Linked DNA regions of Rattus norvegicus. Each later gene encodes a partner of the first gene's protein in a complex. Links are inferred from orthologs where the notes say so. Each region holds a gene or a part of one and is shown on either strand. Other genes may lie near its edges.

The links. Proteins that work in one complex are often made in the same cells at the same time.
Region 2: Flcn (region 1) and Lamtor3 share a complex: the UniProt entries of both Homo sapiens proteins name them as parts of the lysosomal folliculin complex. The link is inferred for Rattus norvegicus from reciprocal best matches to the Homo sapiens genes FLCN and LAMTOR3.
Region 3: Flcn (region 1) and Fnip1 share a complex: the UniProt entries of both Homo sapiens proteins name them as parts of the lysosomal folliculin complex. The link is inferred for Rattus norvegicus from reciprocal best matches to the Homo sapiens genes FLCN and FNIP1.

Annotation. Positions count from the first base shown.
Region 1 is NC_086028.1:45,090,026-45,093,809, reverse strand, and holds part of Flcn (folliculin), read left to right. Parts: intron 1-1,520; coding exon 1,521-1,634; intron 1,635-2,160; coding exon 2,161-2,284; intron 2,285-3,079; coding exon 3,080-3,211; intron 3,212-3,293; coding exon 3,294-3,399; intron 3,400-3,784. UniProt on the Homo sapiens protein: Multi-functional protein, involved in both the cellular response to amino acid availability and in the regulation of glycolysis.
Region 2 is NC_086020.1:229,091,222-229,095,005, reverse strand, and holds part of Lamtor3 (ragulator complex protein LAMTOR3), read right to left. Parts: intron 3,264-3,784; coding exon 3,205-3,263; intron 1,472-3,204; coding exon 1,338-1,471; intron 951-1,337; coding exon 887-950; coding exon of another isoform or gene 627-886; exon of another isoform or gene 1-626. UniProt on the Homo sapiens protein: As part of the Ragulator complex it is involved in amino acid sensing and activation of mTORC1, a signaling complex promoting cell growth in response to growth factors, energy levels, and amino acids.
Region 3 is NC_086028.1:39,123,796-39,127,579, reverse strand, and holds part of Fnip1 (folliculin-interacting protein 1), read right to left. Parts: intron 3,564-3,784; coding exon 3,428-3,563; intron 1,158-3,427; coding exon 956-1,157; intron 1-955. UniProt on the Homo sapiens protein: Binding partner of the GTPase-activating protein FLCN: involved in the cellular response to amino acid availability by regulating the non-canonical mTORC1 signaling cascade controlling the MiT/TFE factors TFEB and TFE3.

The sequences.
Region 1 (3,784 bases):
GTGGAGCCCAGAGGCCGATTTCGGGGCATCTGTCCTTCCTGCTTTATGTGGGTTCTGTCCGGACACCCATCTCACACGGAAAATCCTCTCCCAACCTGCTAAGCCGTCTCTCTCAACGTCTTTATTTTTTTTTTTTTCCAATTAGTATTATTTGACCAGCCAGGAATGATTTCTGTTTTGGAGGCTGGGGAGTCTAGTGAGATGACCCCCAGGGGTAAAGGTGCTGGCGACCATAAAGACCTAAATTTGATGCCCAGGCAAATGGATTGAGCCCTGGGATTTCAGGGTGGGAGACAAGGATTTCAGGGTGGGAGACAGGATTTCAGGGTGGGAGACAGGATTTCAGGGTGGGAGACAAGGATTTCAGGGTGGGAGACAAGGATTTCAGGGTGGGAGACAAGGATTTCAGGGTGGGAGACAAGGATTTCAGGGTGGGAGACAGGATTTCAGGGTGGGAGACAGGATTTCAGGGTGGGAGACAGGATTTCAGGGTGGGAGACAGGATTTCAGGGTGGGAGACAAGAATTTCAGGGTGGGAGACAGGATTTCAGGGTGGGAGACAGGATTTCAGGGTGGGAGACAGGATTTCAGGGTGGGAGACAGGATTTCAGGGTGGGAGACAGGATTGCAGGGTGGGAGACAGGATTGCAGGGTGGGAGACAGGATTGCAGGGTGGGAGACAGGATTGCAGGGTGGGAGACCGGATTTCAGGGTGGGAGACAGGATTGCAGGGTGGGAGACAGGATTGCAGGGTGGGAGACCTTTGTTCTCCAGTGTTGAGCTGGGCTCACTTTGCTGTTCCTTCCCAAGGTTAACAGAGCAGGAATTGTGCTTCCCGCTGCACATGGGAGTACTCAGAGGCATTGGGGTTTGTAAAGTACATATTGTAGCCTCTTTTTGTAGTTTTTGTTTTGTTTCAACCTCATGTTTGGCCTCAAAAAACAATGACTACCTCCTAGCCGTAAGTGCTGCAGGAGTTACTGCCAGGCAGATCCTGTGATAGCCTCCCCCTCTGAGGAACTGCAGCTATAAAGAAGGCTGTTGCAGCTGACTTGGGCAAGTACCAGGATGTGGGTGCATCCTGGTGGTGGAGGCAGAGCCCTCTTCCTGGGGATGGAGTGATGAGCTGGTTGTTCACTTCCAAGCCCTCCAGCGTGACAGCGTGTTAGAGAGGGCGAGGGCTGCAAAAAGTAGACACCAGGCTGACCTCAAACTCACAGAGATCTGCCTGCCTCTGCCTCCAGTGCTGGAATTAAAGGCACACACCACCACTGCCCGCCTGGCTTGCTTCATACTTTTCATAGTGTACGGGGTTGGGAGTTATATTAAAAATGAAATACCTTTGGAGTCTGGTGACTTCTGTCCCCTGTCAGCCTCTAGCAGGCCACCAGAATCCCTAGAAAGAGAATTAACTTTCTCTTTGCTGACCGTGAGCTTCTTTACTGTGAAGAGATTGTCTGAGTACGTGGGGCTAGATTAGTTCCTATAATATGCCTAAAGAACTATGTGCTGTGTTTCAGGTCTTGGGAGCCCCATCTTTCCGAATGTTGGCCTGGCATGTCCTCATGGGTAATCAGGTGATCTGGAAAAGCAGAGATGTGAACCTTGTCCATTCCGCATTTGAAGTCCTCCGGGTGAGAACCTTCCCCTGTATGCTAATGCTTGACTTGGGACAGACTATTAGGGGTACCACCAGCTCAGAGCCTCGGAAAAATTGGTTTTCCTTGCCTGGTAAAAATGGCGGTCATTGATGCTCCCATGGAAGGATCCTGTATTGTCACTGTTGACGGCTACACTGTCTCCCTTTCTCAACCTGAAACTCTTCTGAGAAGTTATCTGAGCAAGAACTGGCACTTGCTGATGCTACATGGCTGTTCTCAAGTTGGGTGGTGGTGTAGGATCATCTCACAGCATGTCTGCTGGCTGCCAGAACCCTCAAGTGCTTCTCCATGCAATGAGCATCTGAATGGGCAAGGAGACCCAGAGGAGGCAGCACATGTCAGCGTTGATCTATGACTGCCCCCCAGGACCAGAATTGGGGGCATCTGGGCGGGAGACTACACATGGGCTGAGAGACTATGGACACACTGAGGAGGGAGGCTGTGGACCAGCTGCAGAGGGTGCATTTGTGGTGAATTCTGAGCACCTTGTTGTCCACAGACCATGCTGCCTGTAGGCTGTGTGCGAATCATCCCTTACAGCAGCCAGTATGAGGAGGCCTATCGCTGCAACTTCCTAGGGCTCAGCCCTCCGGTGCCTATCCCTGCTCATGTCCTGGCCTCTGGTGAGTGCCCTCTGTGAGACACGTACTGCCCACTGCTCTGAAAGACTCCTGTATCCAGCCCAGGGGTGCCCCTGGATCCAAGTCATAGATTTTAGGGCAAGGCTGTGCTCTGCCGCTCCAGCTGGGATGCACTGGGGTTGCCCCAAGCCTGGAGCAGCAGTGCCCTCTGTTTGCAGTAGGACCAGTCTGTGCAGAGATGTTTGGCTGTAAAGTTCTTATACCACTAGCCGTGTGTGTGTGTGTGTGTGTGTGTGTGTGTGTGTGTGTGTGTGTGTGTGTGTGTGTGTGTGTGGCCACTGAACCCTCAAGGCAGTTTCCATATACAGCATTGGTTCTCAATCTCCCTAAAGCTGTGACCCTTTAATGCGGTTCCTCATGTTGTGGTGACCCCAACCATTAAATTGCTTTTGTTGTTACAACTGTAATTTTGCTACTGTTATGAGTTGTAATATAAATATCTCTGTTTTCCAGTGGTCTTAGGTGACCCCTGTGAAAGGGTTGTTCGACCCCAAGAGGGTTGCAACCACCAGGTTGAGAACCACCAGTCTACAGGATAGAATAATAGTGAAACCATCCACTGAGGCTGCTTAGAATGAATTTACCTGAGTCATGTATGTTCAGTGTAATGTACCAGTTAGTTCTAATTTAACTGAGGCAAGAATTCAATTAATGAATCAACTGCAAAAGGCATTAAGCCCTTTCTCAGAGGAGGCTTGTCCCTGAGGTTTGAGTCTGGGGGTCTTGCAGTGGGGTCAAGGGACACTTTACAAGCTAGCACGTGTTTTGTTGCTACAGAGTTCGTAGTTGTCGTGGAGGTACACACAGCCACTCGCTCAAACCCGCACCCGGCTGGATGTGAGGACGACCAGTCCCTCAGCAAGTATGAGTTTGTGGTGACCAGCGGTAGCCCTGTGGCTGCAGACAGAGGTGGGTGCTGCTGCTGTCTCCCTTCATCGGGGAGGGGAGGGGTCACCGAGGCCTCTGCATCGTCTGGTGTTTGTATCTCCAGTTGGGCCCACCATCCTGAATAAAATGGAGGCAGCTCTGACCAACCAGAACCTGTCTGTGGATGTGGTGGACCAGTGCCTCGTCTGTCTCAAGGAGGAGTGGATGAAGTAAGCCCCAGCCTTGCCTTGACAGCTTCCCGGGCTGGGGGTGGGGGTGGGGGTGGGGGGTGAGGGTGGGGATGTGGAGGGGTGGGGCAGCTCACCATGGCAGTGCACTTTCATGCCAAAAAGCAGAAGCAGGATGTGCAAGCAGAGGCCAAGTATCAGGCGGTGGTGGCGTCTGCCTTTAATCCTAGGACTCAGGAGGCCAAGCATATGGATATCTGAGTTCGAGGCCAACCTGCTTTACACATGCGCGTGTGCACACACACACACACACACACACACACACACATACATAGAGAGAAAGAGAGAGAGAGAGAGAGAGAGAGAGAGAGAGAGAGAGAGAGAGAGAGTGAGTTAGTTCTAGGATAGCCAGGACTGTACAGAGAAA
Region 2 (3,784 bases), on another chromosome or scaffold:
TTTGTTGTATGTTGGAGCATCTTTTGGGTATATGCCCAGGAGAGGTAAAGCTGGGTCCTCAGGTAGTGCAATGTCCAATTTTCTGAGGAACCTCCAAACTGATTTCTGGAGTGGTTGTACCAGTTTGCAATCCCACCAACAATGGAGGAGTGTTCCTCTTTCTCCACATCCTCGCCAGAATCTGCTGTCACCTGAGTTTTTGATCTTAGCCATTCTCACTGGTGTGAGGTGAAATCTCAGGGTTGTTTTGATTTGCATTTCCCTTATGACTAAAGATGTTGAACATTTCTTTAGGTGTTTCTCAGCCATTCGGCATTCCTCAGCTGTGAATTCTTTGTTTAGCTCTGTACCCCATTTTTAATAGGGTTATTTGATTCTCTGAAGTCTAACGTCTTGAGTTCTTTATATATATTGGATATTAGCCCTCTATCAGATGTAGGATTGGTAAAGATCTTTTCCCAATCTGTTGGTTGCCGTTTTGTCCCAATGACAGTGTCCTTTGCCTTACAGAAGCTTTGCAGTTTTATGAGGTCCCATTTGTGGACTCGAATTAAGTTATTCTTACAGCACTCCACATGTGTTCTGTTCAGCTTATGTTCTGTAGCCCTTCCTTTTTGCAGGCTGTTTCAGTGTGAGTCACAAACAACACAGGAAACGCAACACTGAGTCGACGAGTTCCTGCGGCAAAAACTCCCCCGTCCTGCCTCCCCTCGAGTGTACCTGAAAACAACCCTGGAGAGGGACAAGGCCCCGGAAGGAGGCAGATGTGGGAACTGTGCTGAGGCACAGATGCAGGTCTCTCCCTCTGTCAGTCCTAATCTGTCACACTGCACAGGCACAGTGCTATAAAGAATTACAGTCTGCATCTGTGGCCCTTCTAACGTACCTGTGTTGGCATTGCTGCTGGCTATAAAACTCACCACCAGAGGCAAACGATTGAATTGAACCACCTGAAAAGAGAGATTGAAATAGCAATGTTGCACGTACACAAATGGAAACAGCTGGTCACTGAGCTTTCAAAGCAAGTGCTTTGTACCTGTCACAGCAGCAGCTGTGGAAGAATCTCAGCTATGCAAGCTAACGGCACCATCTACTGGAGTCAATGATCTGACACATACTTTAACACTGCATAACAAGCTCTTTATTTTTAAAGTTTTAAGTACTTTTCCATAATAATTATTCCCTTTCTAAAAAAGATTAGTTTAGGCTAAATATTAAAAATTCTATCCCCCTCGTACTAAAATTTAGATCTATGCTAAAAACAATTTATACCAAAGGTGTAAAAATGGTTGGTGAAACCAGCCAAGTGTTCAGTGCTCCAAACCGAGTATACAGACCTGGTAGGTATTATAGTAGCAGATGATGCTTTTATTTTTTGAAAGTCCGAGCTTGCTGCCTTGGTCTGTTGCGAGGGCGAAAGTGGACAAGAAGCCAGGCCTCAGGGCATGTTCTGGAGCACTGTCGTTAGCCACTGGGATGAGCGAGTAAACAAACGTTATGCAGAGTAGGATGGGAAGAGCTGACAGCAAGTTCTAAAGCACACAGACCAGTAAAAGCCTAGACACAACAGAACATTTACCATTTGAAAACCCTACATTTACCATGTTGATAACTGGGTCTCAGGTCTGGGGCCATAAATAGCTGAAGGAAAAAATGCTGACTTACATGTAACAAAATGAATATTCTGGTCATCTGAGACTATAACTAATCACTATACTATACTAATCTATACTATACTATACTAATCTATACTATACTATACTAATCTATACTATACTATTCTATACTATACCATACTATACTAATCTATACTATACTATTCTATACTATACCATACTATACTAATCTATACTATACTATACTAATCTATACTATACTATTCTATACTATACCATACTATACTAATCTATACTATACTATACTAATCTATACCATACTATACTAATCTATACTATACTATACTAATCTATACTATACTATTCTAATCTATACTATACTATTCTATACTATACCATACTATACTAATCTATACCATACTATACTAATCTATACTATACTATTCTAATCTATATATACTATACTAATCTATACTATACTATACTATACTATACTACTACACTGTAGACAGAAGAAAATGGAAAAAGCTAGAAAGTCTTCCTACAGCCCAAGAGCTGGCTGCCATCTTCATGTTCCTGTCACTCACTAAGGCCAGACTAGTATTAGCTGCATCAGCTAAGTATGGAGTTTCAGTGGTTCACAGAGATTCTGTGAAAGAACAAAAGGGCCGCAGAATCACCTGAGCCCTCTTTATAGGGGTGAGAAGGGAAAGGCGGCCTGCCCACAGCTGCCCACGCTGTGTGGTGGGTGGCACGGAGTCAATGGACTCTATCATGTCTTGTCACCAACTCAGTGCTCAGCTCTGGGCAGGCAGCGTCCCCTCTGCACCTGACCCATATGCTAATGGATGAAGTGGAAGAACTAAGCCAGGTGACCTCTAAAGCACACTTCCCTCCTCATGCCTAAAACTGCCTGACATGTTTGTCCTGATGTGGAAAAGAGACTGTAAACAATGCGTAAGATGCAATCTCATCTTTAATCTTTGGTAAGGGAAATTAGCCAAGTCCACTTTGATCATGCCAGAAGAAACGAGTTCACACTATCTGTTACAGCGAATGTGTGCTCAAAAAAGCCGAGAACAGACCAAACCATGTTGGGGGGATCTGGGGTGGTCGTGAACATGATCAAAACACACTGTGTGCATGCACAGAATTCTCAAGGATTTATGCAGATGTATTTTTAAAAACGTCTCGGATTCTGATCAATGTAAATAATGATGACATTAAAGTTTTAAGAAATATATTTGTAGTAAAGACCGGCAAGATTAAAAACCACCAGTGTGAGCCAGTGCCCTGGTTAGGGGTTGGCTGCCTGCCTGCCTTGCACACCCAGTTTCCACCCTAAAGCTATGCTTAGGCTTGTGCTGTGCCATAGCATCTCAATGGGAAGCACGCAGAGTGGTCCAGACGTTACGCGGACCACTTCACTATGGGTCCCAGACCGAGGTCCCAGCAGACAAAATACGTACTTCCTCAAACCACTAAAGTGGTTTTCCCAGTTTGTTGCAATAAACTCCGCATATTTTTACTTATTTAAATACAAAACATTCCTGTCAAAAGTAAATGTGCAGGAAGCAGTCAGTGTTACCTTTAATAACAGGCACCCCATCTCTATCTGACACAACGATTGCATGGAGCCCTTCAACGCTACAAGAAAACAAAGGTCAGTATTACAAAGTCATTCTGATTTCTAGGCATATGTATCTCAGGCTCATGGTGGTACTTCTCAAGCATACATATACATACACATACACATACATACATACATATATATATACATACATACATACATACATACATACATACATATATATTTCTGTTTTCCCTCCTGTGGCACTAAAGACTGAACCAGGGAGTTGCGCACTCTAGGAAGGGCACTACTACCAAGCTAAGTCCCCTGCCCTGTTTCATGCGTGTTTCTGAAAAACATGTGTGTGTGCATGCATACCTACTTGCTAAACCATGCTCCCAGGTGTGTTTATGGACACTTTTCTAGAAATTCAATGAGTGTGCTCTGCCCTACTGAAATGGTGAGGATATTTGGTATGCATGTTAATTATTGAAGAGTTTATGTTTTATCACTCCTTGGTTTATAGAAGCAGAAAAGGGTTCAGCTGTGGCGACAGTGACAAAGGTAAAAACAAAGAGCCTTTGTCTGTTTTCTTCTC
Region 3 (3,784 bases), about 6.0 Mb from region 1:
CCAAACTTTATACTCAATGTAAAGTTCTTTTCTAAGTAGGTGATGCCCACTGCAACCCTGCACCTGAGAAGTAAAGACAGGACTGAGCACCAGACCAGCCTGGGCTATAGAGTGAGACTAATCTCAACCAAACCAAACCAAACCAATGCAAAAGATCCAATCCCAAACTACAACACTATAAGAAGTTTTTCAAGTCACTCAAAATGTTTCAGATACAAGAACTACAAGTCTATCAACTTTGATGTTAATAATCTACACAAAAGGAGAGCAGCCAACTTAAAAAATATATATGACCAATGTTAAACTTGAAAAACTTAGACAGTATTAATTCATTTGTGCAGCAAAATTATCTATTTTTAATTGGTTTAATGTAAGCAAACATCTGTGTCTTCCCTACAGCAGAAAAATCCCCAGTTACTACTGAGTTTCTGTGGAACATTCCAAATGATTTCCTTGCCCCATCTTTAAATCTCTTTTAAATAGATCCTACCTGTTGAAGTGTCTGATGGCTCAGACATTCCGCTCTCTTCTTCCTATCTAATAAATCAGCTCCATGCCTTTACTACCTTACATACGTTAATGCTCTTTCTCTTAACTCTATGGAAGATAAAGGAAAATAAGAACACTGCTCTGCTTCACCTCAGAGCACTGCCTAGCACCTCAAATGCATATGTATTCACCATCCCACCTACTCCCTGCTAGCTTAGGAACTCAGGAGTGCCTGTGCACTATCCTCCAGTTTCCTACAGCCTCTTATGAATCAACTGTCTTAGGCCTTTGACTAAAACAGTCAACTCCTTTAACAACACTGCATCTGTTTGCAGCTCTTGGAGCAGGTTGTACAGTAAGTTCAAGACACCTATCAAAGTTTTCCAAATGAATAAACGTAACTCTTATTAAAAGGAACAAAATGCAAAGTAAAAGATAGAAATAAAATACAAAGGACCACACTTACCTGTTCTATTGCACTCTTTAATTTGTTCATGTGGCTTTCAAAGAGAGGAAAATGTGAAAAAAAGAATTCATTGAATTTGTTATTTTCATCTTCATCTTTGGATAATGAAAAGATTACCCCAATTGCAATCTTCTTTTTCCTCACAATTCCTGGGTTAGGGCCACAACTTTCATCTGACAGATTAAAGCTTTCTTCTATAGACCTTAAAAATAAATGTTTTTGTTTAAAACATCAATAGTTTATCTCCCTGCTAATTCAATGTAGGTGAGCAAAAGCTCTTCTGTTGTTTCATCAAATTAAATATAAATTTACAATGTTTAACAATTGTTACCTCTCCAAAAAAAATCTATTTTTCATTTTTTTAAAGAGTTTACCAGAATCAAGTTGGAAATGGTTAAGAATCTTGCTTCTTACTAGAAGTCTTAAAGAAGCAGATAACTCCAGTTCAAAAAGTAAGCTAAAAGTATCTGATGAAAGTAAAAGAAAGTAAGTAAAATAAATGAGGAAACATTAAGTTTCTAAATCTACAGTTGTACTTTAGCACAAGCTAAAAAAAAAAAAAATCTTGAGACTGAGCAAGCTGCCTAAATAGAATCATGAAAAATTAAAGCACTAAAATATGTGGGGCAAGAACAAAGTGCTTAAACCCAGAACTCTCTGAAGAAAGCAAAGAGCTTCAACGTACTAACTTTGGCCATGATTTCTCTGATAGAACAGAAAAGTCACCAGCAACAGCACAGAAACAAATGCTACAAAAAAACAACTGTATTCAAGTACATGAGCAGCAGCAGGAGACAAACACAATCCACAGAATGGCAGGAAATATGTGCAAACCATGTATCTAGTAAAGAACAAATAATCCAAATATTCAAAGATGTCTCCTAACTTCTCAACAGCAACAATAAAACAAACAGCAAAGGGTTGAATATTTACTCCTCTAACGATGATGTATGAATGACCAAAAAGCATTTGTGAATCACTTCTGTTTCATTGGGATGAAAATTACTAAGGAGTGGGACTGAGAATGGAACTCAGTGGTAGAGTACAACTCGGAGGTATAACGCCTCGCATACAGGAGGTTATGGAGGTATAACGTCTCACATACAGGTGGTTATGGGCTTCCATACACATGACTAAAACAGAACTAAAGCAGAAAATAATGTGTTGGTGAACATACAAAGATTTCAGGACTGTCTTTACATTGCTGTTACGAATGTGAAATCATACAGTCACTGTATGGCAGTTCCTTAAAAATAGACTAACTATACAACTCAGTAAGTCCACTTCTGGGCATATACCCGTAAGGATATAAGGCATAGACTGAAACTAATGTTTATAACCCATGTTCATAGCAGTGCTGTTCACAACTGCTAAAAAGAAGAAACATCTATGTATTCTTGAACAAATAGAGAAAGGGTATACTGCTGTGCATACACGGACGCATATGCACACGTGTGCGTGCACGTATGTAGGTATGTATGTACAGGTCAGAGGTTGACACTGGGTATATTCCTAATGATTCGCCACCTTATTTTCTGAGATGACGTCTGTTCACTGAACCTGGAGCTCATCAATTCAGCTAAATGTTCTGGCCAGCAAGCTTCAGGAATCCTTCTGCTTCTGCTTGCCCAGTGCTGGGATAAGAGGTGCACCTGGATTTTTACATGGGTAATGTGCTGGGGATCTGAACACAAATTCTCATGCTTACGCAGCAAGCGATTTACTGAAAGTGCCATCCCTCCAACCCCCAAATGTACTTCTAGTGTAATGTTATTTGGCTACAAATATAATTTTCTTATATATGCTACACCACAGGTGAACTTCAAAGGCATACTGAACAAAAAAAGCCAGATATAGAAGGGTAAGTACTTCATGATTCCACTTATGCAAGGTATTTATAAGTTTATGGAGATAAAAAATAGTAGCGCTGGGGTGATAGTTCAGCCATTGTGAACACTTATGCTTTCCCAGAGGACTCAAGTTTAGTTCTCAGCATCCATGTTAGGCAGCTCAAAACTGCCTCTTTTCTGTGTGCCCTGACACATGTGCACACACCTATGTCTACACATGATCCAAGGATTTTCCTCTGCCTTCCATGGGTACCCGTACACAAGTGGCATACATTCTCATAGACATCTAGACAAACTAAAAAATTTTACACTACAAACGTTTAGAATTAGCATACTGATTACAAAGGGCAAATGAAGAGTAGGGAGTTACTGTGTAATAACTTCAGGGCTTCAGTTTGGGAAGATGAAAAAGTTCAGGACTTAAGGAGTAGTGATGGTGTGAAGGCATTTAGTGTCACCGAACCATATGGTAAAAATGATTAAAACAGAAAATTGTTTTTAATCTGTCTTGCTACAATTAAAAAAGTAATAAAATTTTAAGTTTCCAATTACAGACTTCGAATACACAAAATACAAGTCTCAAACTCTAAAAACTAGTCAATCTTTTTCAATCTCAACTTACCATCTAGGAAATACCCCATTTTCCAAACTTGTTGTTTGGCTACGTCGCCAACGTCGCTGGTAGCTGCTGGCACAGCTTCGGGTGAGTGAGGAGTTTGGGGAGGGAAATGGGGTGATGAGCAGGCTGCTCAGAGATGCTGTTACGGCAGAAGAGCAAATGTAACTATTAGTCAAGGAGTAAGCATGGTGGCAAGTTTCTATTTAACAGGTTGAACAGAGTAAACTAAATATTTTATTTTGTTTCATGAATGTGCCTCATCTTTCCATTTTAAAGTGTACTTGGAGGAAATTCGTATATTAATACTAAATTTACAAGAGTCTCTACGATAATCATTTTTGGCATAGTACAACCAAGAAA